Medicago truncatula: one gene and its partners. Each later gene encodes a partner of the first gene's protein in a complex. Links are inferred from orthologs where the notes say so. Each region holds a gene or a part of one and is shown on either strand. Other genes may lie near its edges.

Region 1 (8,010 bases):
TCTAACTGACCATGATAGAAATTAAACCATTGGTGCAAGTCACCAAGTCTTTAAAACGGCTGAAAGCATGTACACGAAGGGCCAAGAAAAGTAACCATCCAAAACGATGGCACTCAGATACACGGCCCGTAACAGACGACTTATTTTCAACATTTGCATCAGTTGACACGAAGAACTCTTCAAATACACGCTTATAATACCTGGCACAATCAAAGTCGTAAGATGTAAAGCAAACTATAATCAAAGCAAGCAACCTTATACTGCAAAAAAAAACATAAAAAATACTGGGCTACTCACTTGCTAAGAATCTTCAGGTGAATAGTGTTAGCATGCATCTCTTTTGCCTAATATAAACATAGCAACATAAAATATTAGCTAAGTATATAACTGATTTGAAGGATTTAAAAGTATATAATCACAATTAACTTGGCAAAAATACAATCGTGATTCTCAGACTAGTCAATACCTCAAGCTTGTTTTCCCAATCAGAGCCGAATCGATTGCTTAAAATTGGACCAGCTTTGACAACAAACTGAGGAAGTTCTTTAAAAAAATCTGCAATGCTGTTCAATACAAGATAAACATACCAGTTAATAAAAGACCAAACTACAAACTTTGATACTAGATAAAGGTCAGAAAAATACTTAAGCTTTGCTGCTCTCAATATTCGACACAAGGTAAGACCGGTATTCTCAATCTCTTCTTTTTCACTTTCCTCATTTTTCTGAGTCAGCCTCTTGATAGAGTATAAAATAAAAGCAAACCAGTACCGCTCTGCTTCTTCTATCTGAAAATATTTATAAACCTCATGAATTCAAATAAAAACTTCAATGACAAATGGATTTCATACTAGAGAGTTGTGTGCATACGTACCGTTCCATTTCCCATTGATGAAACATTTGCCATGAGAAGATGTTTGGTTTCTCCAAACAGATCCATTGCTTCTTTACAGCTTTTCTCATCCAATGCTAGCTCATTCTGCAACAAAAGAGAGAGTTAAAATATATAAAAATTATCCTGTCACAAAAATATTATATTATCTCGTAGGATTGTTTTCCTATCTTGCAGTGTCTCTCGATATTAGTTTCCCATTTTACTTGGATATTATCATAATTTGTTTCCCTATTTAATTAGGATTTGGAATCTTTGGATAGTATAAATAAGGGTTAGTACTTAATATTTTTGTATCATCAACCACAAGCACATTTTTAAGTCATCTTCACTATCTGTCTAAAAGACTGTCAATTAAACAGAGCCAATCAATGTATAATTTAATGAATAAAAAACCTCAGTTTAAAACTCATTAGATCTGTCTAAACACAAGTAATAACCATACATGTACATTTATCCTATTTGGTGTCTGGCATACACATAGAAAATTGTTGTGCAACAGAGGATACAGCAGAGCATAGCCATAATGAGAAGGTATGGCAAGTAAATGGAGTGAGTTGACCGAAAATAATGCAAGCTTCCAAACACATGTGGCTTAGTGACAGGACTTGGCGAAAAAATGAAGGGCTGGGGTGTGAAGGGATAGCCAACGCTTAATTGGGCAGCATGACTTTCCTTCGTAATCCATCCGTTATTTGAAATAAGCTAAGAGTTTCATGTTTCAAACAACAGATGCAATTAGTAATGCTACTCACAACTATTGATTTGTACCATAAACTCTTTCTGGAACAAATTAATAATGAATAGGTAACCGATGTCAAACTCCCCTCCCAATAACACAAAAGAACCGGAAACGACAGATCAATTAATAATAGTGATCCTAAAAGAAAGACTCCCAACAAATCAATGCAGACCGATTAATCACAAAGTGAAAACGCCCGACCACACAATTTTTCAACCACATTAACCGACAGTACATGACAGATCAATAAATCGGACAAACTTTTCTGAATTTAAACATTCATTTCCGCTAAATTAATGACCTAGGAAGGGTTGCTGATCTGCTAAATTGATGACCTTGGAAGGGTTGGTGATTAATTGCTCCCTAAGTTTTCTCCATCACATACTATCACCAAAACATGTCTGATTAATTTAACCAAGTCAAAAAGGAATAATAAAAAACTCAACTTTATCATACACCAAAATGTAAAAAATGCCTCAAATCACAAAAAAAAAAGGGTTAATTAAGTTTTTAGTCCCTATAAATATTTAAAATTTTGTTTTTAGTCCTTACAAAATAAAATCACACTTTTTAATCCCTAAAAATTTTTCATCAACATTTTTAGTCCTTATAAAATTTTTCATAAGCATTTTTAGTCCCTATAAAATTTTTCCATCAGCATTTTTAGTCCCTAAAATGCTTAAGGAAAATGTCACAGGGACTAAAAAGTGTGATTTTATTTTGTAGGGACTAAAAACAAAACTGTGAATATTTATAGGGACTAAAAACTTAATTAACCCAAAAAAAAAATCTATGCACCTATCTTTCCGTGAAGATCGATCGATTAATCAATAAAACATTTTAACATGCATTTTATCTCTCAATAATAATTCAATTTAGGGTTTACAAACAAAAAGAACAAATTTCATTTCACTTCTTCAAATCACAAACGAACCCTACAAACTAAAAAACTTAAAGATCAAAACTTTATAAACATAATTCACAAACAGTATCAGCTCAAACAAAATAAAAACACAACACCAAAAAAAACATTAATTAAACTAATTTCACATCAAAAAACTGACCCAGAAAACGAAAAATGAAAATTAAAACAAAGCAATCACCTTTGAAAACTCAGCAAAACGAGAAACAGCTTGGTCACCATTTTCGACAACAGAAAGCTTAGTATCTTCCATCTCCGTTTCAGCTGAAGGACTCATGAAAGAACCCTAATTCACACAGATCGAGTGAGTAGAAACCCTAATTCGAGCGAAAATTGGGTGAATTTTGACAAGGAATCGCAATTTAGGTGTGAAATTGAGAAACCCTAGGATGAAGGAAAGGGGGGAATAAGAACAGAGAAATCTCAGAAACTCACGAAAAGAGAATAAACATATTAATTTTATTTAATAATAATGTTTTTTTATTATTAAAAAAAGGTTAAGATTGTGTTTTGGCGCCACATATGTTATGTCCTACAGGTTTTTCCCGCCTAATGTAAGGCTGATGTGGATTAGGGGTATGATAGGGATTTTGTGTTGTTTGACTGGGTTTTTTGTCTCTCTATGTTTTTTACTATGTTTCGTTTTCTTACCTTAGTATATGGTTTTTTCGTTCCCAACAAAAAGTAATTTATAAAGTAGGGTTAAATATGTTTTTGGTCCCTATAAATATGTCAATTTTTCGTTTTAGTCCCTCTAAAATTTTCCTTCAACATTTAATCCCTATAAAATTTTCAATCACTATTTTTGGTCCTTATTTTAAATTTAATTTTTGTATTTTTTAATAAAATTTGGAAGAAATGTGTAAAATATTCTAAAAAAAATTCCTAAAAAAAGTTAGAATTTTTTAACAAAACACAAATTAAATATAAATTTTTAACCGTAAAAAATATAAAAATTCATATTAAATTCACGTTTTGTTAAAAAATTCTCAAATTTTTTTGAAGTGGTTCTTATAATATTTCGAATTTTCCTGGAAAATTTTATTAAATAATATGAATTCTACATATGATTTTACTTTAAAGAGGGACCAAAAGTGAAGATTGAAAATTTTATAGGGACTAAATGTTGAAGGAAAATTTTGGGAGGACTAAAACGAAAAGTTTACATATTTATAGAGACCAAAAACATACTTAACCCTATAAAGTATCTAAAAATGTGAAAAAAAAAAGTATCTAAAAATATGAAAAAATAAATAAATTACACTAACGCTACCTCTCGAACAAGTGGTTGTAGTTTTTCTTGCTGGTTCTCTCTTCTATTTTTTTATTGAGGGTCTAAAATTGTCGTTCTTTATTTCACTCTCTCTTTTAATTTAAATAAATGGTTTTTAGATAAAAATAAAAAATTTATTTTGTCGTCCTAGTGCATCGTTTCTTTCTTTGTTCATCGTTTTTGTGCAGCGTTGGCTAATTTCCCATTTTGGTAAGTTGTTTGTTTGGTTTGACATGACTAGCCAACTTTAATCTATCAATGTTCAATTAAATGATCATCACTTAAACTTAAACGTTGCATATCTGAATGCATGAGTATTTCAGTCACTTTGATTTTGTCACATTAATTGTATTTACTTTGTCATTTTAAAAGTTGTTAGTTTGTTTGCAGATTAATACTTTTCGCTTTTATTAATTTTGAATTTTAATCCATTCTTTTTGTTTTTTTTAAAGGAATTTTAATCCATTCTTATATACTCTACTAATTTGAATAAATGAATATAGTTTATTTTAGTAAAAAAAGAAATGTTAAAAATAAAATATGTGGTTCAACATAATTAAGTGATAATTTTTAGAGAGAAAGTATCTTCTAATTTAATTTCTTGTTTTTGTAACTCCTAGTATTTGATTTCTATCCATGTTTGTTTTTTTAATAAACGGTATTTAATCTATTATGACTTGAATTCATTGATTTATTTATTGCTTATTGATGAGCTACTAATACACTATACTCACTTTTGGCACGGTTTCGTAAAAATCACTTTAAATATAAGTGAGGATTATTCTACTATTACATGAATTGAATAGATTTCCTTAAAAATATGAATTAAATAGATTTGAGAGGTGGGGGCTCTGTTAGCGCAACTATTGTTTCTTACCATGCAAACAATTTGTATAAAGAATGGTTGAAAAAGATATAAATGATGAAATTAAGAGAGAAAGTATTTTTATTGTACCAATTCTCATTTGTGAATGAAAAAATGTGACTGCAACCTATTTATATTGGTTATTTGTTAGTTAAGTAACAAATTCAACTAACTAATTAATTAACCATGTAACTAAAAAGTGTTGACCCATTTTATGATTAGATGGGAGATAATGTGCACGTATGTAAAGAGTTAATTAAGGAAAAAGATAAACGACACAATTAAGTAAATTATACTAGTTCACTTCATAATCTGAAGTTAGTCCAATTCTCTCGCACTTTCGAGAAATTTCATTATAATCCAACATATTATAATAATAAACACTAAGACTACATATAATTTAAAAAATCTTTCAATAATTTTGATTATAATAGCTACAACAATTAATTAATTTCTAATGATCAGCAATTAACTCAAAATATCAATAAGGTCTAACGCTTCCAAACAACGAGCACGAGTAACACTAGAAGAGTGATAGCGAAGTTAACAATAAACACTACTTCATTGTTTCATTTTTTTTTACTTTTTATACCAATTTCAACAATAGAATAAGTCCTCAAAGATACAAAAGTAGAAAAGAAATAAATACACGAAAAAACATTACGACCGAGAATTAGGATTAAACATGTCAAAGGAATGCTTTGTTTGAGAGTTTGGAACAGAGGGAAAATGAGCGCTTTGGGAGTGGGAAATATATAGGAAAATAAAAAATCTTTCATATTTTTTGAAAGAATAATTTTTTAGAGAATGATAAATTAACACTTATGATTAATATACTTATAATTTTAAGAATATTATAACAACATAGATTTAATTTGAAAAATTCATATAATCCCTCCAAAAACCCTCCTCTAGTATAATTTTGAGTTCCTTGGATTGAGGGGTATTTGATATTATGAATAAAAAAATTAACCCCCAAACTCTATCATCCCAATGTCTTTTATTTCTCCTTCCTTTTTTTCAAAACCCTTCCCTCCCCTCCAAACTCCCAAACAAAGTCTAAGTCTTTAACCATAGATAATTTTGCAAGTTTGTAAATTTTTTGAATTGAAAAACAACCAATAAATTTCGAATTTTAATTCATATAGACCGATAATATAAAATATTTTTACACATGCATTCAATCATATTAATTAAAATTAGTAGAGGTATTAAGAATTAGCTTAAAAAATATTACTTGTCTATATGATTAGATACGATTATAACATAGTGCTTCGAAATTAATCTTATTTGTTTAATGATATGAAATTTTTTAATAAATTTAATTTATACATTATTGGTGTAAACAATTTTTACACCTTGAATTGATAATAATTGATAGACCATTGATTACGTTTAGTTTTACTCCTATCTATTTTAAATATTACACACATAATTGGTTGTAATTTGCTGAGGTACACAATTTTTTACACTATTTATGTATGAAGATTATATCAGAAATTTACTCTAATAATTTATAAGATTAATTTTTATGCACTCTTAGTGTGGTTTATCTTACACACGTCTTCAATCAAATTGCACAAAATATCGTTGTTATAGTGGAGGAGGCCTAGGAGGAGGAGAGTCTTTTGGAGTGTGGGGTGTTGTTGCATACTATTATTTTGTAGGATAATGTTCATGAGAGGTGGCGTTGGCTTCTTGACCCTATTGCTGGCTACTCTGTTAGAGGAACTTACCATTACTTCACAAAGGAAACCGATCATCCTGATTGTGGTCTGTTTGACGATGTGTGGCATAGACAGGTTCCGTTAAAAGTCTCTTTGTTTGCTTGGAGACTTCTCTGTGATCGTCTTCCGACTAAAGATAACTTGGTGCGGCGACAAATACTTTAGCTTGACGACAATATGTTTGTGAAGGGGGTGTGGGTCTCTAGAGACTACAAATCACTTGTCCTTTAGCTGCAACACTTTAAGTAGCGTGTGGTTTTTGGTTCTCCGGTGGCTCGACATCTCCTGCATCGCTCCTTTTGAGGCTCGTGATCATCTCCTTCAGTTCGGGCATCTTGCTGGATTACCAAGTTCTTCTCATTCATTCCTTCGGATGATCTGGCTAGCTTGCGTTTGGGTTATCTGAAAGGAGTGTGACAATAGAGTTTTTAATCACAAGTTTTTGGATTCCCACTGCATGGCGGACAAGGTTAAACGGCAATCGTACTTTTGGCTTAAATCCAATATGCAGGCTTTTATTTTCAGCATCCATGAGTGGTTGCAGCACCCTTTATCATGCATGAGTGTTTTGATGTAATGTTATTATTATTATTGTTTTCTTCATTGCGTTGTTCCTTTTTCAGGGACCCATGACCTGACTTTGTAACTGTTTTCGCTGTTTCTCTTTGCACATCTTATGCCAGATAAAACACTTTTGGTAATGTTATTTTCCATTTTGGCTTGTTAAAAAAAAATAAAAAATCATTGGTTATAGATTGATTCCTAATTAAAATATATCCACATGATTTGAGTGTAAACAAGGAATCATTATTTGCAATCATTATTCGGTTGATCCTGATATGTTTCACTAGTAATGCTAAGATACTCTTTAGTCTAAACAAGGAATCTACAATGTGCTAGAGATACATATTTGCAATGGTTAATTTCTACCAATAATTTTAGAAGCTTGTAATTTCCACAACAAGACCATAGTTCAATAATGTTTTTCTGAAGAAGCATAGTTGAATAATGTTAATGCTTGGTAGACCAACTTTGATTTTATCCTTGAGGATGTGCTATTATTCTGATCATTCTATTTCACCAAATGCTTAGCAAAGGACTTTAGGTTTGTGAAAGAACAAAGATTCTCAAAACAAAGATTCTATTTCACCAACACTCAGAGGATTTCACCCTTGAAAGAACAAAGCAATAATCAGAATCAAGATTCTCAGAAACCTACTCGGTTCTGAAGAGCTATAAGTACTGCAATACAAAGATTGATTGAAGTGGTAGGCCTATAATCTTGATATGTGCCCACAGGATGGAAAATGCATCGCAGCTTTGTTGCAACCACCTTTTTATCGTAACAACATTTATTAAACTAATTTTGGTATCCTTAACCATACATCGCACGGGTCGCTATCTAGTGTAATAACCAACCATGCACAAATGAAAAAGTCTAGTGTCTCCCAAAGTACACACCTGAAAATATAGCAAGGTGCTAGCATGTAAAAATGTTGGTGATAGTTAACAAGCAAAGCGCAGTGTGATGCCATTGTGCGCAGCAGCAATATTTGCAGTCGTAATTGCGGATCCAGACCATAATTTAAA
Region 2 (7,056 bases), on another chromosome or scaffold:
AGGTTGTTTGAAAAGGGAGAAACTACAAGTGTTTAATGTGTAACTTAAACTGTAAAGAATTGAATAACAATAAACCACCGATGATCAACAATCAACTAATCAAAACTGAAAAATTAGGCAATACCTAATGAGCTGTCATATCGACATGGACCAGCAGGGGTGAGATTATTTCCTGAAGGAGAACCTGCCAAATTTATATAAAAAGTATAACTTTTTGGTAGCCAAAATCGATAATTAAAGGAATGATGGTGTATGTTAGTTGATAGAAATCTAGTTGTCAACCAAAATATTGGCTACCCTTATTTTCTTTGAATATATTAGGAAAATGATAAATGTAGAATCCTACTTAACAAAGTTTCGAAAAAAATATTCACCAATATTTGAGCCAGGGGTTTGAGTTCCAGATCTGTTGCATTTTGTCATCCTAGAGGATTTTCCTCCTTTCCCCGCCTTTCCAGATACAGGCGTCTGAACAGAACTATTGGCTGCTGCAGTGGACCCAGGAGTCATCCTATCACCTGAATCAGCTTCAAAATCAGCTGCTTCACTCTTCCGCTTCAATTGCTGAAATGTGTGAATATAATAGTAAGTAACAATAAATAGAAAAGATTATGGATTAGTCTAAGCAGGTGCTCGCGGAGATAAGTTGACTTAAAAAAAAAGATTATATAGAGTAAGTTAGAATAGTAAGAATCGTATTTTCATAAATAATCCATTAATCATAAATCAATGTTGTTAATCTCGGATATTGGTGCAGAGCAATCGATTATACAACTGGGATAGTGCTTGCGAGGGGAAGGGAAAGAGGGGTAGAAAAGGTGAGAACAGAGGTATTTTAGTCTTCACTATGTAGAAAAGGGGGTGTCGGTAGAAAAAAAGGGGGTGTGGACCACCATTAGACTAACTTAAAGCCTAATTTCGGAAACCCTAAATTTAAAATGTTCCCTTCCCGATATTAAAAAATTAGATAGCTCCACATTGCAGTTACTTTTCCTCCTTTCTTGTTTCTACTCGCGTCTTTCTTGTACTCCATTGTTCTATATTTTTCTCTGTCGGTGTTCTTACTGAAAAACACCAGCTCATGGCAAGAAACTTCCAATTTGTGGCCAGAGTGAATGGGTTTGTGCAGTAAGACCCTTGCTTCGGCCGCAATAAGCAATTCCACCATGAAACGCAGCCGCAAACACCATACTCGATTTCCGCTGCATTTGCATTTAGCGTGGCAGCCAAGGCCTCCAGCCGTATCACGAAGCCGCAATTCAATGTAATGAGGCATTTTTAATAGCAACCATAAATATATAGCTTCACATCAATTAGAAGAAAGAAATTTACTTATAATATCTACAAATAACAACACAAGCATAACCCAATACTTTTAACTATGTCAATAGATTTTGCAAAGAATAAGAAAAAGGGAAGCGCCCTACTTGCATTTATGAGAAATGGAAAAGTTATGCACAATTTAGTTTTTTACATGAGCATAGTCTAAGGATGTGCAAGATACCCTCAGAATTCCTTAACGAGTAACATAATGATAGAATAACTCAGTTACGGTCAGTTTCCTAAAAACGTATGTATTTGGCAAACGGCAACACTACTAAGTTGACTAAATGGATTCAATTCAAAAAGGAAAAAGCGAAAGACTACAAAAATAAACTTAAAAACTCACGAAATGTGGTTTCTGAAGCAGAGTTATTTTTTTATCCACATAAAAAAATTTCGACCGAGTATGGTAACCCATTTCCTTTATTTGCCAAATTTCTTACAGAAAATCTTTGCACCAAATAGAAACCTCATTTAAAAACAACCAGGCAAAAGTAAGCTCATAAACTAAATGGGGCTTTTCAGGAGCATTTTAAAGCATCCAATAGACAGATTCATTTCCTTGCAATGTGATCCTTTCCACCTAGAATTGACCAATTATTTTCATTGCAACGTGATTCTTACCGCCTAGAATTGACCAAGTTACAATCACATCCTCTCAAGTTCCTCAATACATTGATCAAGTACTAAACCTAAGGACTAAGGGCCTGTTTGGATTGGCTTATTTGAGCTTACCTACTAGCATAAGTTTTGTGAGACTGTTTGAGAGAACTAATAAAGACAGCTTATGGCTTATTTTTTTTCTATCAAAATAAAGTTTATGTGTATGCTTATAAAAACAGCTTATGTAAGCTTATGCAAAAGTGCTTATATGATAAGCACTTGTGCCATAAGCTGCAAATAAACCATTTATCCAAACAGGCTCTAAAGCTCATATAACAGCACATATTAAAAATAAAAAATAAACACACCCACACACTCTTTTTCTATGAAGCACTGTTGCAAACACCTGACACGACACTAACAGGTCGACACCCGTAATTGAATATAACCACATGTGTTAGTGTCGTGTTGGTGTCTCACACACGTGTCAGACACTAGCATAACTTAGTTTGATTCCTCAAGCACGGAAAAAATTCCTTTTTTTAGTAAAACCTAACTAATATTCAACTCTAAGAACTAATTCAGCAACTAATCCCAACAATTTAATAACTAAATAGAAATTAAACCCTAAAATTCAATAGATCCCTAGTTCTTTAAATCACCTTACAAAAACTAAACTAAAAACCATAAAAAAAATCACAAAAAACGTAAAAAAATAATAATAATAATAAAAAAATAGAAAACTCACAGGAGTTTTAACAACAATAGCTTCAGTTTCTAGGTCTTGATTCCGGCGGTGGTCAGGAGCGAAGCGGTGATAATCAGCGGCGGCGAGAAAGGGAGGTTTCATGGAGGAGAAAGGGAGTTGACGTTGCTGCATGATCTGGTCCGGCGCGGCGGTGGCGGGAGGAGTTCGGGTGCCCGACATCCACCTGCCGGCGATGGAAGGAAATGGGAGGGAAAAGGAAGAGAGATCTATGTGTTTGGAAAGTGGGAAAAAGCGGGAGAGAGAAAGGGAAGAGGGAGAGGGAGAAGAAGATGATGATGGAGGGAATTTGGTTCGGATATTGATGTGGAGGGAAGTGCTTATAAATAAATAATGAGTTCCCAATTCAATATCAATTATTACTATTATTATTTTATTACACTATTTTATTTTATTTTTTTGTGTGTAAACCCTTTTGGTTTTAAAAAAAAAAATCTGATAATAAGTTGCTGGAAAGATAAATAAAGTTTTACAAAAAATTATTCAACTTAAAATTAAGTCACAAGGACTAATTTTAGACAAAATGAGCAGGTTTTAATTGTTTAACACAAGGGTTATAATTTTCTAGACGAAATGATAAACATAACCAAAAGACACACTATGATTGTGAGGTTTCATATTGGAATCAGATGAAAATGTTTGATTTAAAAATATTTGTATTGTTAGTTGAGTTAGATTTTATAAATTAAAACCGATATTTTACTTGTGAAAATATTAGTTAGAATTTTCATGATTATATTTAATGTCGGATAGTATTTTAAATATGATTATTTTAAAGGAGAGAATTTACTAGAAACTGAAAATAAATAAAAAATATTATTTTAAGAAAATCAAATGAAAAAAACAAACTTTTTAATTAGATTTTAATTTTAATATTTTAATACAATATTAACGTAAAAATTTATAACGTTTTTTTACAATAAAAAATGTATTATGTTGACTAGTCAAATGTTATTATATGTATAATTTAAATAGATAATGGAAGTCAAATATTTTCTGTTAGTTTTTTTTTTTGGTAGATAGACGAAATGGCAAAGCCATTATAAACTCACACACACAAGTGGAGGTACCGGGGTTCGAAGCCCGGTCATGACATCCGGCCTAACAATTTCGGCATTTTGCCAGTTGAGTTAGGACTTCTTTCTCTTAGTTAATAGTGTGTGTAAACATTTTATGTGAAGTAAATCCTAGTTTTTTTTAAAATTAATTAAATCCTATTTAGGGAAATTTTATTTTCATTTAATAAATATAAAAACTTGGATCGTGTACCAAAAGGAAAAAGACAATGGAAGAAATTTGGCCGTGTTTTTTTAATAAAACTGCCTCTGTTCGGTTAGGAATCAGCGCGAATCACACCCACGTTTTAACGGTAGTCCCGACTTTATATTCCTCCAGTCCCCAGTGCTACATAACATAACCACCATGTACTCAACTTCATTATTTTTATTTTACTTACTTCAGGGTACAATTTTCGATACAAAGATTTATAATTTAGGGGATATTCTCTAATTTGTGGTAAAGAGAGTTTACTTACCGTCAATGTTCCTTTACTGATGATGATACGTAAGTATGTTTGTTAACGTACGTCAAAAACCTGCTCTTATCTTAGAGCAGCTCCAGCGGTTAGTTATTTTGTGAGATTGTCAGCATGTAATTTGAACTTTTCATCACTTTTTTCATTGGAGACCGTGAGAGTGGCGTGACCATTGCTTGCTGAAGCAACGGTTATTAGTAGAGTATAGTGAATAAACCATAATTAGATAATATGTAAACTATGGTTAGTTACTTAGTTAGGTAGTTAAGAGTTAGTTACGAACTAACTCACTCTATAAATATCTCTCACTATTGTACTCTATGGTTATCTTTTTCAATCTAATTCAATATGAATTACAAGGATTATTCTTTTGTTTCTACCTCTCATGCCTACTTCTCCTATGAACTTCATCTTCATCTCTTTGATCCTATAGTTTCCGATATGGTATCAGAGCAATATTGTTGCACATATAGTGATTCTGAAGAGGATTCTGTTGGTGATGAAGAGGATTCGGTTGGTGATGAAGATCTTGAAGCTTCTGCTGCAGAATCTTCGTGTTCCTCCACTTCGCAAGATTGCTTCATTTTCGGTAGTTTTGGTGATTCAGTTTCCACTTCTGTTTCTTCACCGTGGAATGCTTCGTTTCAGCCAGCAGTTGATGGATTCGCCATCAAGATTGGTGAAATTCCTTGCTTTCTCGCTAATTCACGTTGTTGCACTGAGCGCAACTTTGTGTTTGATGCTTCGGAAGAAAACAAGAATTCACATAGTCTTGATTTGTTGTTTCACGCATTTGCTGAATCTACAAAACTGAACAATCGAAAATTTGTTTTCACCGTTTCTGAAGTAGCGATCAGGAACTCGAAGAGTCTCTTCACCGATTTTGTTCTCTCAAGCTCTGTACCTGTTTACGGCGTTAGTTTCTTCTTCGTCGGAGAACAGGAACATGATGTAATCACACTCAACAACAAGCTTCAATGCTTCTAGTTACATGACGAGGCAATTGTGGATTTCAATCCCGGTGGAAATCTTTGCGGTTTGTTGCCCTCTTTTCTATCAATTTCTTTTTCAATTTCATTTTTCAAGTTCACAAGTTTTGGTATTGATTGACTACAGTGGATACCATGGGACAGAGGGAAGAACCGTCTTTCGTTGTTTTCGTGAAAATCAACACAACCGTCGCATACTTGTTTTCCGGCGAACACTTGCAGGTTCGAAGTATTTTGTTTCACGACATTGATGAATTCTGCTATGGTTGAGAGATTCTGGAATGCACAAATGACAATGAGTTCAATAGCGTAATCGTGTTGTATGAACGCGATTTAGAAAAGCTGATTTGAAAAGTGCGTTTTGCAAAAGCCCGTTTGGGACAAGTTTCTTTTGGGCATGCTGTTTTGGCTCAGTTGTGTATTCAATAAGTTGCTTTGGTTCAATTTCATTTTTAATAATAAGCTGTTTTGGAAAAGGGCTTTGGGCATAATCACGTTTCTGGAAAGCTGGTTGTGAATATTGGAAGGAAGAAGAAGAAAAGTGCAGCTCATAATTCTCAGTATGTGTTCAATTGGACTTGGATCAGGATTTCACATTAGGCTTCACTAGCGTCCAGACGGGCATTCCCGTGCCCGTCTGTCCACTCTTTCTACTGCGCTAACGCATGTAACTCATAAATAGTATGTTTTTCAACATCAATGTTGTTTAGTTTTTCTTGATATATCTTGGAGAAAATTATTAGAATTCAAAGAAATATCATACATTCCCCTCAAAAAGAGAAAGTTCTAATGTGATAAAAAAAATATAAGATAGATAATACATGCACTTCTCTAACATGGAGTTATTTACGATTTACTTAGTTTTGTGATGCATACTCATCTATATAAGAAATATGAATATGCATGAAACATGAGTGAAATTTATGGGAGTGGGTTTCACGAAGACAATAAATCTTTCCTACCGCTAACACAATTTATAAAAACCTTTATTGATTACAGTTTAATCTTTTTGCATTTGACTAATATTCACCCATTCTCCATCTCTCCTATTAAAAAAAAGCTCCCTCTTTACCCAATCTACCTCTCTATTATTGCATTTGTCTAATCATTTTTATCCCTACTATTGAGTTTCCGTTTTAGTACACTTTAATCAAAACCACAAAAAGTTTGAAAAAAAAGTCATTTTGTTGGTTTTTTTTATGTCGTGAATTCAGTTTAATCAAAACCACAAAAAGTATGAAAAAAAGTCATTTTGGTGGTTTTTTTTTAGTGTTTGTAATTTAAAAAGGAAAAGTAAGCCCTCCTCTCATGAATCTTCCATCTAAACACACCATTCTAAAAAAAACATTTCTAAAAACCATAATATGTTGAATCACAATCAATATTTCTCACCAACGAACAAATAAATTTTTTGAAAGATTCTTACACACAAAAATAAAGTCTCCCAACAATACCAATGAAAATTCACTATATGTAAGTTTTCCTCAAAGGCAACTGAAAAGTAGAAGAGGAAAAAAAAAAAAAAGCAGAATATATATTTTTAAATCAAGTGTCAAAGTTATAACAATCCTAAATCAATAGCTTGATTAAAGAAACAAACAATAGATACCTAAGAGCACCAAAGAATTGATCTAGAACGGAAATAAGTAAAAACCAAACATATGCAAAAAAATATATGAATTATTTGACACACCAAATTACATTGTTACTTCCTTTTTTATTAATTAAATATGATGCACAATAAGCTCTTACATATATAAAAGGGTTTATCACCTTTGTAATTTATTTATTAAAATGAGAATAAACATTGCTATGAACCAAATATTATTCATTGATCCATG
Region 3 (7,179 bases), on another chromosome or scaffold:
TCTTATAAGCTCCTTTCTTTCACTGAGAATTGACATGATAAATTTCAAGATAAAACAGATAAGTCAAAATAAAACTAACGATATTAGTAGCACCTAGCGAACCTTATACACTGGTCAAGTTTGAATTCCTCGGCATATAAGCTATCAACTTCATCCTGCAATGGACCAAATTATCAGAATTGGACCAAACCATTTCTATACTGCAGAGCATTAATTTGCTAAATAGTATCATATGTTCTACACATATTTGGCATTTAACATTACTATTATTATTATTTTAGGGTTTTGTGGGTAAAGAGTGTTTGGCTAAAGGTTTTATTACCTGAACCTAAGAAAGGGAAAATTGGAACCAAGAAGACTAATTGCTTATGTTTCATTACTATCAGTTTTTAGTAATTTGACAACAGTTTCATCTATTTTATTTATTCATTCATTATATGTTAATTTTTCCAACACGATGATATCAAATCAAACAGCATTTAGATTGCGCATCTGCCTCATCCAACAAACAAAATTAAAAACATCATGTTATATATTGTTATGTAAAAGAGACAAGTCACATAGAAGTATTTCAATCTTGAGGGTTCTACAGAATGCATATATCTTCAGCCCAAAAGTTTCCTTTCGGCGTCAATAAATAATGTCTTCAGCAGCTCAAGTTGCACCTTACTGCTAGTAACTTGTATTTTGTTTAGACCACTGTTATCATCCTCAGCAACCTTAACTGTACTGCTACCAACAAATACTTTGGAGAGATTCTATTTCATCTATAGTATACAAACCGGAGATTCCTAGGTGCAATGTCTAATCGGTGACAAGAAATATGATGCCATGAAGACAATAAGATTCCTGAAACCTATGACTTGGAAGGAAACTAAATAGTATATAAAAAACATGGTTATGAAAAACTGAGTAGAGATGTTTACAATCCTAATTAATCATCCGATCATACCAGATGTGTAAAAGCAGGAAATGTGGAATACATATTAACTAACTGACAAGTAAAAAAAGATTGACAAACCTTTAGAGTATTAACTTGATGCTCCAGTTCTCGTGGCTCAAGTCCATCACATCCCCTGTGAATAAGGCCCATCATCATATATTATCATTTCATTTCATAAACATGATAAAAATCAAACCAATAGTATATACCAAATAAAAATATTAGATATTTACTTCCACCGTATATGGTTCTTTGAAGTTTTCTCTATCAATCCTATTCCTTCAAGAACATTTGTAATGTCATAAATTCTCCTTTTTTGAACCTGAAGACAAATGTCAAATTACTATTATTAAAAAATGTTAAATTATATTATACATGTCTTATTAAAGCACTAGGAGGTGAAGCTCAAAATCAGACCTGCTAATACGAACCATCGGGCATATATACAATGAAAGACAATTTCTATACCTTTAAGATCTCAGCAGTTTTATTTAGATCAAGGGTACCATCCTTAGCCTCATTGATCAAACTGATAAATTTCTTGGTTAGCAATCCTGCAAACAGTACATGATGTAGCTGTTCGTCATAAAAAGAGCTAAATTAATGACAAAAAGTCATAAAAGATCACTTGAGTGTGGACATACCTAAGGAACTGTCATAACGATTGACTGTGGCTGAATTCAGAGAGTCTGATAGGAAAAATCCACCCAACATAAAATAAAAATAATGTGAGAATACAGATAATGATATACAAACCAACGCACATTATCATACTCTAAAAGAAAATTACCTGTATTTGAAATCTGATTGGCAGATTTTGAATTTTTTGAAACTTTTGATTTACCATTATGCTTTCCTCTTGGGTTGGGTTGGGTTTGAAGAAGTGGAGGAAGATTAACAGTGTTGCTCTGACTCGGAAACGCTTCAACGTTACTACTAGTGTGCAAGTTGACATTATTGATTTCATTTCTTTGACTTAACTGCAATAGACAGTTGAATTGAATGCAAGCATTTAAAGTGTGAGCAGAAATTAAATATATAATTTGTAACATTGTTGACTAATATTTGTTGGATACTCATTCTAGATTCTGATATTTATTTATTAAATTAAACCATAAGCAGAGTTAATTATAAGAGTTAGTTGAGCTGAAAACAGAATTGAAATATAAAACTGCTAAATTGAATAAGTATTATGAAGAGCAACAAATTGTAACATTGTTGCTCCCTATAACATAAAAAAAAAAAAAAAAAAAAAAAGAAAGAAAGAGTCACTAAAATTTGTATAACTAATGAATGGATTGAATCTCAATTCTGAAGTGTGCCTAGAACAGTTCTTCTAACAACTAAGGAGTGAGCGGCATATTAATTCCACTTTAAATTCAGCGCTGAACCTCATAGACTAATCCCGGAGAGAATATAACATTGGTGCATTCCTAGGGTTAGATTGAAACACATGAAAGAAGAGATCTCTTAACATCTTCGGTTGATTTATAATATTTGGAGAAAAACATGAAGATATAAATGAATGATCGGAAATTTTTGGTTAAATAATCTGATCCGATCGATATTGTGAAATGAAAGAAAGAAATAAAAATTGGAGAAGGAAAAAGAAGAAGACTTACGGGAAACATAGAAGAAGAAGAAGAAGTAAAAGGAGTGAAATTGAATTGAGAAAAATGAGGAATTTGATCCTCGCTTGGAGTCGACATGAATGATGAACCCAATCAATTTACCCAACAACACTAGTAGTGGCAGCAGTAGTAGTTAATTAATTCATTAAAATAGAGTGAGTAAGGGTTTTAGCGGCAGGAAAGCTATAGTGTTGAATTGAATTTGAGGGGAATAAATGAAAATAAAATCCTATTACGCGATAAAATAAAATAAAAAAAATTGAATGAATATTTTCTCTCAATGGGAGCGATAAGTCATGCGATGTGAATGAGATTGTCCAAAGCTAACAGAAGATGATGAAGAAGAAGAAGAAGAAGAGGAGGAAGCGGTGGGTGTATTGTTGTATTTGTATGAGTTCGAATACACACGCCACCCCGCCTTTTGTTCCTCTCTCTTCTCTTTGGGCCTATTTATTTTTCTACCTTCTCTCCCTGGGTCTGGGCCTCCTTCTCCCTTTGAAATTCAAACCATCCATTAAAAAATTAAATAAAAAATCAAATATTTTTTTTATAGATGATGAGTCATGACGATCCTCTTCATTTTTCTCAGTTACTATAATTTTTAAAATATAAATACAAATGTGTCATTAAGTGAGTCAAAAAAAATTATATAACAACTATAGTAGTAGTAATAGAGCAAATAAATGATGAGAATCTTAACTCATGAAAGATATCTCTTTTTTCGTCGCTATAATTCTTAAAAATCACTTTCTGTTTAAATTTATCCATCTAGATAGAGATAAAAAAAAATATACACCCTTTTACCTGAATCTATCCATTGAAATGCGAGAAAATAATAAAAGTGACCATCCTCTCCTTTTTTTTATCACCAATGATATTGAACATCTCTAATAAGGAGTTTTTTTATTAAATAAAGACATCAACCTATTAAAGATCACATTGGAAGGGAAAAAATGGCAATTAGTTCCACGACAACTATACAATGTTTTTTTTTCTCTTCACCAACTAACAGGTTCTATAATCAAAATAAGAAAAAGTTTGGATAAAAGTTGATCCCACTATCTCAAATTTACATGCCTTACTCTCTGCAATTTCTTTTTATTTATTTTTTAAATGCACATATTAAAGTGTGTATTAATGGCACCTATTTAAGGACTATTTTTGGTTTATTATTACTTGAGTCATTGATTATTAATTGATATTTTCATTAACAATTATAAATAAGTGATGTTTATATGTGATCCATTTAATGTCTCTTTTTAGATTACTATCATTATAAGTGTCTTTAATTATCATACATTTTCATTTAACACATCATTTTCTCTCTATCTTTAAATTTTCATTAGTTCATTAATTTCTTTGTCAAGGTGTAGAATATATATTAGGTATCTAGATTTCCAAAACAATAGTACTAACAGAGAGAAATTAGAGAATATAAAATGGAAATGATTTCAACTCATAAGTGATTTTGATTTTCCATGTTTATTTTATTCGATCAAAACATTTGTATTGTTAAGGGGTACATCTACGATCTCCTTCTCCCCAGTTGGATTCTGCTAGCAGCAGTTTCTAGTTTATGTTTAAAAAATATTTATTAGCCTGGTCCATGTATTGATCCGCCGGTTCACCAAACCTGAGTTTTGACTCAACCAATTCGACCAGCCCGGTCCCGGTCCGGTCTAGTTTTTTAAACAATGCATGGAACATCCACAATATGCAAGTATCCATACTCTGCTACTCTACTAGTCGTCAACTCACAAAGTTCAACTACATTTTACACAATATTATTAGAGGCAGTTAGATACATATGACACACGAAAACAAAACAAAAATATACTCGTTTCAAAAAGAAAAGAAACTTGAATACAAAACCCGGTTAGGTAATTATTCTGGTAATGTGATGCATATAGCATACTTATACTCGCTAAAATTCATACAAACTCGTCACTCATCATGGAACTTCTTGGCTAGTTCCCTTTTTCCTTGAAAAAATACCTCCTATAAGTGGAATCAATGACTTCTTCTTCTTCTTCCTAAGAGAAGGGTGCCTTTCCAACTTCTCAACACCTTGAGGTAACATCACATGAGAAACAGACGGTGGATTCGCGAACGTCACATACCTTTTCTTTTGAAACTCCATCATTAATTCTTCATCAAATCTTGAACTTTTCACTTCAAAGGTTGTTAAATTCTCAACAAACTTCACGTCTTCAGTTTCTGATGATTCCACTTGATGTTTTTCAGTTTCACGTTGCTTCAATTGTTCGAGCTCTTGCTTCGTGCGTTCGAGTTCTTCCTGAAGAGATGACATACAATGTGCCATCAACATGCTTTCTTCTTTAGCTTTCTCTAGATTTTCTCGTGTCTCCTCCAGCTCAGCTGTAACGTTTTCAACCCTTGAAGACTGATCAACCCCATTTTCATTTGCTCCATTGTGAATCTATATATTAGAAGACATGGAGACGAACAACAATAAATTATTAATCATGTGTGGAAGTGTAAATTTTAAACCATAAACAAGTGATCATGAGGAAATTAGACCGTCAGATAATCCTAATTAATCTCTAAGATGCCCAAAATGATTTTGGTGTGTGTAAATTAAGCTAACTCAGCCGATACTAATCTTATACCGTAATCTGATGTTTTTACTTTTTACATACCTACGGGTCAATAATTAATTTTTCTGACCAAATGATTAATAATTTGAGTATATCTATCATTCGAGAATTTGAGTAGGAAAATGCTTTATATAGCGAGAAGTGGGTTCACGAAGTTTCACAATACGTTGAAAACAATACTCCCTTTATTTTTGCTAGCACCATGTTGGCAAGTGGGGAGCTCTTTTTTTTTGTTATCAAGGCAATTTACATTCGTGAATCATTCGCTATATATTTTATTGGGAGATATATAGCAACACCCATTTGAGTATATCTATCACTCATGTCGCATCATATTGTTAAACTGAGAAATGAGAAATGTTATCAACACACGTTCTAACATATACTTTTCAATAATGTGTGTTGCTAGCATTTCTCTTGTCACACTATATTGAAAGCACAAATGAATTTACTTATATATAGTGCACAGACAAAAGTAAAAATTAAAAGCAGAATTTTTTTTTTCTTCACTTCCTTTATTCAATTAGACGGTGAAGAAAGCAAAAGACACAAATACAAGCAAGCACATGACACACTCTGCAAATTGATGACAATCTGCACTTGTAGTTTGTACCCTGTTTCAAAAAAAAAACATAGGATAGGAGAATCTTATTGATGGATGGACCTTCAATTAAAATGTCCAAGAATTCCTTATTGGTGATTTAAATAATTCAAGTAATTAACCATTTTGATATTCTAATAAAATTGAGTGATGTGATGGTGTATAGAACCTGGTGTTTGAGTTTGGTTGCAGTTGCATAGAGCTCTCCAGCTAAAACTTTATCACCGAATAATGTAACAGCCTCTTTGACGGACCTGAATGGCGCCCTTGTGTCTATCTCTGTATTTCTGGTGAGCAGCATCACACCCTCTTTATTCTTATTCATCTTTGTGTTAGAAGATAGAGATAGAGAGAAGAATGAGATAATTAGGTTGGTTATAAGTAGTAGTTAGTAATGTGTAGTAGAAATGGACAATATTAAAGGAGACAATTGGCATAATATATGGTATGAAGATTGGAAGCTTCGTTTCTTCGCGTCCACTTCACTAGAACAATTCTGTTATACTATCTCAGAAAGAGAGCCAAAGCGGTGGGTGGATATGCTATTGGTCTTGGATATTGTTCCTATGTTATGTTATGTTGGACCTAACCTAATTTGCCTAAACTTTGTTTTATATTTAACAGAATTGAAGAGGACCCTTCACCCATACCCAACTTATACTATAGGACTTGTTGTCTTAGAGAAGCTAGCATTTCCAAAGAGAGAAGCTAACTCAATGTATAGAATCTGTTATTCCTTTGCTCCCAAGATTGAATATACACCACTGCATGGTTGCCAAGTTATCAAGCAACCTATCCTACCTTTGTTCTTGATTAGTGAGACTTTTATGGAAACCTTAATTTTAGTTTTTCGATATTCTTTTTCAGACTTTATCTATTTTTAACGTGAAATTTGAGAGTTTTTTGATATAGCTAGCTAGATACGAGGGCTGTTTTTTTTTTTTTTTTTTTTTTTTTCTTCAATGGAGCACAAATACAATTTTATATTACTGATTAAATTTGTTCTACATAACACAAGAACACTTGAATGAGATGGTAAGGGACAACTTAGCTAGAGATCACGAGTGAATTTTGTCATTTATTGCAGTCCTACCTGACTCGATAAATTAATCCACACGTAGAGATATTGATAAGACACATAGAGTTAATGGTATTTCATAACTAATCGATTGAGCAGCATCTCGTAGACCACCCAAAAAGGAATATTTATTATTTGACCCATATCCTGACATAAGAAGTCCAATGGGAGCAATACTCAAAATAGCAATCCATAAAAAACACCGATATTGAAATCAGATAAAACAAAGTTATAGCCAAAGGGAATTACTGAATAACTTATTAGAATTGATATTACTGATATGGATGGTCCGATACTGAATAAACGAA
Region 4 (7,828 bases), on another chromosome or scaffold:
TGGTTGCATTGCATGCACTTTTCAACTTCATTCCTTATTTAAATGAAATGCAAAAACCAAATTAACGTGTATTTACCTTCCAGGCAAAAACTTTGATAACTCTGCCCATCTATTCCCATATATCTGATGAGCATGTATTAGAGCCAACTCTTCTTCCTGCGTCCATGCTTCTTTGTTTATAGAAGGATTAAGATGATTATGCCACCTAATAATTTTTCAAAAATTATCATTATCAGCGAGAATGAGAATTGACTACTACAACCCCCCAAGCGTAATTTAATTTATATATGTGTGTGTGCAATACGGAAAAAATACAACAACAACCAAGTCTTATCCCACTAAGTGGCAATAAGAAAATGTAGTCGGAATAAATATTAAATACATTGTACTCTAATTTAATGTTTTTGGACGTAAAGTATGTTAATCATAACATACATTAACTATTAGAAATCCAATAACCATACCTTTCTCGACATTGCTTACCGATACGTCCAGGTAAATGTTGTGCTATAGTAGACCACTTTTTAGGCCCATATTTGTTTACCAAATCAACAATTGTTTCATCTTCCTGTTTGCATTCAGATTGATAGGTAAGTAAATAACAGATCTCCAAACAGAAAATGGATAGAATAGGCTATCATGTCAGAACCAACACAAAATTGCTAAGTATATAATCAACACCGGCAAGAAATGAGAAGTTGATATTACCTCTTTGGACCAAGGACCTTTGATAAGTTCTGGATTTAAGACTTTTTGCCACCTATGCAGGCATTGTACATCAGTTCTATCCTTGAAACACTCCGCTGCAAACACATTGTACAATCATAACAAGTCAAAAAACAATATTGAATAGGTGTAAAGACAACAAAAAAATATAAATTGAGTTTACTACAAATATATAGATTGATTCCCCAACAAACACCAGTTCTTTTTCCCATTTTAAATCTCCTCAGTTAAGCCTGTAAAGGTCCAACTGAAAAAGCTCGTCTAGTTTTATGAAGAATTGGACACAACCAATGCTCCACTATGCAGTTATACGCCAAAAGAAGTATGTCGTGAAAATATTACCTATTTTTTTCCAATTTTTTCCTTGAAAACGCTCAACAGCCTTCCTCAATATATTATCCTGCATACACAGAATTCATGTATTTCACTTGATCATATAATACATTTTTACATAGAAGAATTTCAAAGAAAAATCAAGTACAGCTTCTAAATGCACATGTATACAAAAAAAGTCATTGCATTATTTAGCCATTTATGATCTTCAAAGAAGTCTACACAATAACTATTAACTATAATGATTGAAAGTGAAAAAGTTAACACAATAAGTCTATAGATGCTAAATTTCACATGATACAAAATTTTATTGTGTCTCCCCTAAAACAGACAAATGAAGTTGCAGTGGAGCAATGTTACCAAACTTTAGAAAGATGTAATATGTTAAAAGTATTAAAAATTCACCTCCTCGGGTGTCCATTGTCCTTTAGTGGATCGCCTTGTAGGGCCAGTAGTCCTCCTGCAAATACGTGCGTAATTGTATGAGTAAACTCATTTCACTGCTTATAAATATATAATGACATGTTATAGATTTCATAAAAAAAAAAATTTAAATGTCGAAACGTTTTAAAATCCTCATAAAGTATATGTCTTTTGTCTTTTGCATATAAAATTTTCATAATCTTCAATTTTGTTTGGCAACTGCTCAATCTCATTATAGTAGCTAAGCTACCACCATTGATTGACCAGGTATAGTGACCTTAATGAATAATAATTAAAGTGGATACACCCCATTGAAGTTGAAAAAGTTTAGAGAGTGCCTCATTTTGGCTTTTCTTGTGCAACTTCACACTCAGGTGTTAAGCCAGCAATGTGGCACCGATTGGAAGTGTCGGAGTGTACAGGGGACGGGTGCATCTATTCGACTTTGGTTGAACAAATCAAATCAGCAGAAATGTGACAGAAAAATGTGACAAATGTGATAGGAAAATGTCACAAGTATAATGTTACCACTCTTGCAGACCTCTTTTCAACTAGCTTAAGGAAAAAAGGTGTAGGAAAATTGTAATGACAGATGCGATAAGCTATAATTGGGAAAATAAGGATTCATTTCTTTGTCTTGGTAATAAATCATTTCATAATCAAAAGAAAGCAAATAACAACTCCAAACATAAACATACCAATGAATCTAAAATTTACTTCCAAAAGGGGTATCTGAGATTAAAGCAACAAGTGCATATCAAGCATGTTAGTAAAACAAAAGATGAATTTAAGATTTACCCATGTAATGCTCTAATTTTCTGTACGCCATCTGATAAAGCAGGAATTGTCGACTCACTTCCCATAGTGTACCGGAATTTCGACTTGTCTGCAATTATCTCCACAATTTGTCCTCCAAATCATTCTAATCCCTAATCCACACTTGTAAAATTACCCAAGCAAAAATTCCTGCAAACAAACATATGAATCAATATAAATTGAATTCAAATTTCAAAAATAAATCACATAAGTCGCACAAAGTGGGATCCGCTACATGGATCAAACACATGGCGGCATTACGAATGAAATAGAGAAATTTAAACAGACTGGATCCTTACAAAATCAAACAATTAAAGTAAAAAATTCAAAAAAAGGAAGAAAAAAAATAAGGAATTCAAATTTAAAGCAATTTGAAAACTCGGAATAGAATTTACATTTAAGCATAAATATGAGTTGTAGATTGGAGAATAAACATAAATATAAACATGAAGAAGAAATCGAAATCAAAATGCAAGCGTTCACCAACCATTGTTCAAAAAAAAAAACACCAACCAGATTGAGCTTCAGAAATGAAGATATTCGAGAAAATAGATGAGGAAATTGAAACTGTGTGAAAATGAAAATCCGAATGGATGGATGTTGAAGAAAGATCTAGAATTTGACATCAACATTCAAAGTAGGGAGAAGAATAAGAAGAGGTTTTAGTGAGAGAAAGTGTTAAAGGAAACGGTCTTCTCAATATTCAAACTCAAACATAAAGGGGCGGAAACTATTTTCTCTTTTTCTTTTCTTTTCTTTTTTGATTTTTTTTTTCTTTTTTCCTTTTTTCACAAACAATATTATTGACTTTTTTAAAATGAACGGTCGTGATGAGAAACGTCGGAGTCAAGGTTCACATTTTACCTTGAGTTTTTATTTTTCCAAAAGTGCAACGGTCATATTTTTTATTTTCTTTCTTTCAGATTTCCTCCACATATTTTTCTGAAGTTTGTTTTTTTAGCAGATTTTTTCTGGAGTTTACTAATATTTTTACATTATATCACCTACTTACATTAATGCTTAATGGAAAATACTAACAAATGTTTTTTTGTGGTGTTTTTGCTAACGAATGTTTTAGGATATTTTTTAAGCATTTAAAAACAATAATTTTTATATTAAAAATTGTGTAGTTATAACTTTTACATGTGTTTGACTTGTATTTCTAAGATAAAATGTTTTTTTTTATATGTTTCTTAAACAATGTTCTTAAAACACTGCGTAACTCATTTTTAAAATATAGTATTTTTGTAAGTATCTTTTCATGAAAAACTATAAAGATTAATTTTTATACATTTTTGCCGTAAAACTTTTTTAGATATGCATTAAATCAAAACATTCTAAATACATTGTTTGTTTAATTAATATACATTGTCGGTTTATAAATATTCTACAATGAATTCAACGATGTGTTGTCGCGTAAGTTAATGAATACGTGAACTCGTGTGTTTTCATATTCATTAATTGACGTTGTAAGACATCATTTGATACATGTGTAAAATAATTTTACATTGTTAAATTTGATACATGTGTAAAATATGAAAATTTGATATTTTGAAAATATTCATCGAGACGAATTCAACGATATTTTATATGATATTATTTATCTTTGTATATTAGCAGAAAAATATAGTCAAATTATGTTTGGTCAATAGTGCATATTTTCAAATAGATCATCTATTGAAGGACGGATGAAGTATATAGCAATTAACTCAATGATATTTATAAAAGACGTTTTAAAAACTAACTTAAAAAATGTAGCATCGGATATTTATGTTGCCCTGTGTTTACAAATTAAATCTCTTTTTGTGGCGTCTTTTTTTGTGGTGTTTTACGAATTAAATCTAAAACTAAATATATATTTTTAAGTATCTATGTGTTGTTTGTTTCAAAAAAAAGTATATATGTGTTGTCAAAATAAATTATCTCTGTGATATGAAGTGTCATGCACGTATAAAATTTTACAATTTACTAAACTTCCCTTTTCCCCATTTTATTTTGAGTTCTAACGCAAGAAACAACAAACACGGCCGTATTATCTATTTTTACTCAGGATTAAAACAAGTTACCCAAAAAAACAAGATTATGCTTTAAAGAAAGAAGTTTTTATTTTGAAAGAAGATCAAAACGTCCCATATGTGAAAATTCATTAAATAAATATTAAAATATTTTTTAAGAAAACTGTCGAAGTAAGAGAATCTCAATGACAATAACAATAGCATAATTTTTTTTTTCCTAAAGGTTTAATCGAACATAAAAAATAAAAATAAAAAAGAAACAACAACTTCTTGTCAAAAAAAAAAAAAACAACCACAACAACTTCGAAGGTTCTTTGAAAAAACAACTTTGAAGGATTTTAATTTAATTAAAGGTGCAATATTTAGTTTCTTTAATGCAAATAATAATAACTAGATTAATTTACTAAGATTGTCAATAGATCATTTACCGAAAGAAAACAAAATGCCAATATATATCATGTATGTAAAGTAAAAAGGAAACAAATTTGGCAATTTTCTTTAGGTCAATATAATTATATAAAAACACGGGTTGCAACCATTGAATTAAGTTGGATTTTAAGGGGGAATTAAGAAGAATTTTTGTTTGAATCATTGAGTTAAGATTAATTTATGTTGACAAGATTGAATTAAGATTAATTAAGACTTATGACTCGGATCATTTTATTTTATGTATGATGACTTAAAATTCATTGAAACTCGGCAAATCAGGACGGTTTTTGTTCTTTTCTTCACCGAAATATGTAATTAGAATTGGACTTTTGCTTTGGACAGTTCTGCTCAATTGATCGAATCATCGAGTTTTACTTAAAAACACTTTTGTTCACATCCACATGGGATTTAGTAGGAATCGTGGATCTGCATGTGCAAATTGGGCATACACCCATTTGAATCAATATATGTTTTCTGTTGAGTCTCTTCCTTCAAGGGTTCAAAACAACAAATACATGACTGTTTTGAGGATTACAGCAAAGGATGAATGGGGTAACATGAAGAGTATATCTAATTATAGCATAAGAAAAAACCAGAATAATTTTTTTGAAAGAAGAAAAAACCAGAATATTGTTGCTATTATTAGGATTAGTCACAATGAATCAACCAGCTAATTTATTTTGAATAGATCCTAGGTTTTAGTTTTATAGCAAATGTTGGTAGTTAGTTTGTTAGATCAATATTTTATTCCATGATCGGGTTTGATCCAATACCTCCAAGACTTTTTTTCCTTAACTCAAACTAGTTGAGTTGAGCTGTCCAACCCCCCCGCCTATGGTCATATACTTATATTTATTTGTTCTTATTTCTCATGTTAGCCATGTGTTTGTATCAAAGTCGTTCCCGTCCCGGCTGATGAAACTAGCATCAGCACTGTAAGTGTACTATTAGATGTCAACTTATATAAGACTTTTTAAACTAGCATCTACAATGTACGTCTAATAAAACTTTACTATATGAGGAATGATATTTTGACAACCAATTTTAGACAACTTTGGGTGACAACCTTTTTCCTCCATTCTTATTGGACAATAGCAATAGAGAGAAAGAAAAAGGAAGAGAGAGAATAAAGTATAATGAGAGTATGAGAGAGTTGTCACCGAAGTTGTTAAAAATGATTGTTCAAATATCATTTCTCTCAACTCAACCATAATAACAATAAGAGTAATGATATTTTGACAATCAATTTTCAACAACTTTCAGTGACAACGTTTTTCCTCTTTTTATTGGACAATAACAATAGAGAGAGAAAAAGGAAGAGAGAGAATAAAAATACAATGAGAGTATGAGAGAGAGTGTTGTCACAAAAGTTGTTAAAAATGGATGATCAAATATCATTACTCTAACAATAAACCTGTTCAATTCAGCTCCAAGTGTAGTAAATTGGATCACGTTTGAACTTTGAAGTGAAAACACGTCTCTAATATCTTTATGACTGGCTTATAACCTCTCCAACAAGAGTGGTTTTTTCAGCTTCGTGATGAAATGTGCAAACCAGCAAAATATCATCACTGTTAGGGCATACATACATAACTTACATGTATGCTTATGTGCTACTCTTGCAGCCTCTCACTAAATAATATTCTATTCCTACCATTAGTCTTGTGATAAAAAAATAAACGAGCTTCTCTGCCAGTACCATGAATACTTCAAAATGCCCTGATAATTTATCGCATAGTTAACAATTTCCTAAAAGCAAAAGTTTAAACCTGACAAGCCTAACAAGACTCAAAATTATAGCAAGAAACATCAGTTTTTGACTCGACTGTGAGAAAATAAAATAAAAACCATTGTCACAAGCAAAGTTATAAATCAGGTATATAACCATCACAAGGTATGAAAACCAATCATTGCATTCTCCCCTCCCTATTTTATATTCTCCTTTATCCCTAAATCACAGTTGGGTACACACACCACTTGGTTTCCTTAACCAAGACAATGATGCAGTTTCAGATTCCAGTTGGGTTATTTAATCATGGCAGCAAGTTGACCACCAGTCATTTGTCTATAAGCCAATAACCAATGTTTACATGAAATCCTCCTCCACTTCCTGGAATGATCTGCTTCCTGAAGCAATGTCTTTGTTGGATGTCATATTTTCTGCGACCATCAAACCCTTGTAGCTCCTAAGCTCTGATTGTTTCTCCTTTTCTAGTCTGTCTATTTCCTCACGGCGCTTCTGCACACAGAAACATGTGATTTGATTCTAGCAATTGTTCAAAGAAAAAACAATTGAACTAGATCAAGAAAACACTAAGATGTTACACGACAATGAAGATATTTCATTTTTAGCAGGCAAAGAAAACACCATGAACCTTAGGCCCAATCCTCAAATTCTTAACAAAGTTCACACATATAACATCCTAAAGGACAACAAGATACAAAGTGACACAAAGTACTCAAGTAGTGCCTTAGGACAAAGGAAAAGATAAATTATATAGTAGACAACTATGCCCCAAGGAGAATGCAACATGTCAGTCACAAAGAATGCTTCTGCACACAGAAACATGTGATTTAATTCTAGTAATTGTTCAAGAAAAAAACAATTGAACTAGATCAAGAAGACACTGAAATGTTACGCTACAAAGATATTTCACTGTTAGAAGGCAAAGAAGACACTGAACCTTAGGCTGGATTCTAAAATTCTTAACAAAGTTTACAAACATAACATCCTAAATAACAACAAGATGGAAAGTGACTCAAAGAACTCAAGCAGTGCACCAGGACATAGGGAAAAATAAATTACATTTTAGACAACTGTGCCCTGAAGAGAATGCAACATAGACAGCGGTAAAAATACAAACAATCATTCACCAATTTGTTTCGGAGCACAGCCATTGGTCAAAGATCTAATAGAAGAGTTTGTGCAATATTTTATGAGTTTGACAATGATATGGAACTCATTTGTTTCAAATTTAATCACTTCCTAGGATTTTCTATCTGTTTATTTCAGCATTGGGAAACAACTAGAATAAAAACACCGGATTATAATGACTATTAGTAGCTTTTGAGAAATAATTTGATAT

Evidence for each region.
Region 2: retinoblastoma-related protein (region 1) and transcription factor E2FB share a complex: the UniProt entries of both Arabidopsis thaliana proteins name them as parts of the DREAM-like complex. The link is inferred for Medicago truncatula from reciprocal best matches to the Arabidopsis thaliana genes RBR1 and E2F1.
Region 3: retinoblastoma-related protein (region 1) and transcription factor E2FC share a complex: the UniProt entries of both Arabidopsis thaliana proteins name them as parts of the DREAM-like complex. The link is inferred for Medicago truncatula from reciprocal best matches to the Arabidopsis thaliana genes RBR1 and ATE2F2.
Region 4: retinoblastoma-related protein (region 1) and transcription factor MYB3R-1 share a complex: the UniProt entries of both Arabidopsis thaliana proteins name them as parts of the DREAM-like complex. The link is inferred for Medicago truncatula from reciprocal best matches to the Arabidopsis thaliana genes RBR1 and MYB3R-4.

The regions. Positions count from the first base shown.
Region 1 is NC_053049.1:15,476,665-15,484,674, forward strand, and holds the start of retinoblastoma-related protein, read right to left. Parts: upstream 3,011-8,010; 5' UTR 2,833-3,010; coding exon 2,737-2,832; intron 979-2,736; coding exon 874-978; intron 788-873; coding exon 645-787; intron 564-644; coding exon 467-563; intron 345-466; coding exon 298-344; intron 201-297; coding exon 11-200; intron 1-10. UniProt on the Arabidopsis thaliana protein: Key regulator of entry into cell division. Acts as a transcription repressor of E2F target genes, whose activity is required for progress from the G1 to the S phase of the cell cycle.
Region 2 is NC_053045.1:26,839,339-26,846,394, reverse strand, and holds the start of transcription factor E2FB, read right to left. Parts: upstream 3,003-7,056; 5' UTR 2,855-3,002; coding exon 2,675-2,854; intron 565-2,674; coding exon 375-564; intron 185-374; coding exon 125-184; intron 1-124. UniProt on the Arabidopsis thaliana protein: Transcription activator that binds DNA cooperatively with DP proteins through the E2 recognition site, 5'-TTTC[CG]CGC-3' found in the promoter region of a number of genes whose products are involved in cell cycle regulation or in DNA replication.
Region 3 is NC_053044.1:56,504,477-56,511,655, forward strand, and holds the start of transcription factor E2FC, read right to left. Parts: upstream 3,024-7,179; 5' UTR 2,653-3,023; coding exon 2,566-2,652; intron 1,924-2,565; coding exon 1,734-1,923; intron 1,633-1,733; coding exon 1,588-1,632; intron 1,498-1,587; coding exon 1,412-1,497; intron 1,266-1,411; coding exon 1,177-1,265; intron 1,077-1,176; coding exon 1,022-1,076; intron 156-1,021; coding exon 103-155; intron 23-102; coding exon 1-22. Other genes in the region: WEB family protein At1g75720, read right to left, coding at 4,526-5,014, 5,963-6,118. UniProt on the Arabidopsis thaliana protein: Involved in transcriptional repression. May act by repressing E2F-regulated genes in mature differentiated cells, but is not an antagonist of E2FA.
Region 4 is NC_053044.1:54,290,908-54,298,735, reverse strand, and holds the start of transcription factor MYB3R-1, read right to left. Parts: upstream 3,014-7,828; 5' UTR 2,812-3,013; exon of another isoform or gene 2,786-2,811; intron 2,449-2,785; 5' UTR 2,346-2,448; coding exon 2,281-2,345; intron 1,520-2,280; coding exon 1,465-1,519; intron 1,127-1,464; coding exon 1,069-1,126; intron 804-1,068; coding exon 709-803; intron 569-708; coding exon 465-568; intron 206-464; coding exon 77-205; intron 1-76. Other genes in the region: coiled-coil domain-containing protein 25, read right to left, coding at 6,829-6,981. UniProt on the Arabidopsis thaliana protein: Transcription factor that binds 5'-AACGG-3' motifs in gene promoters. Involved in the regulation of cytokinesis, probably via the activation of several G2/M phase-specific genes transcription (e.g. KNOLLE). Required for the maintenance of diploidy.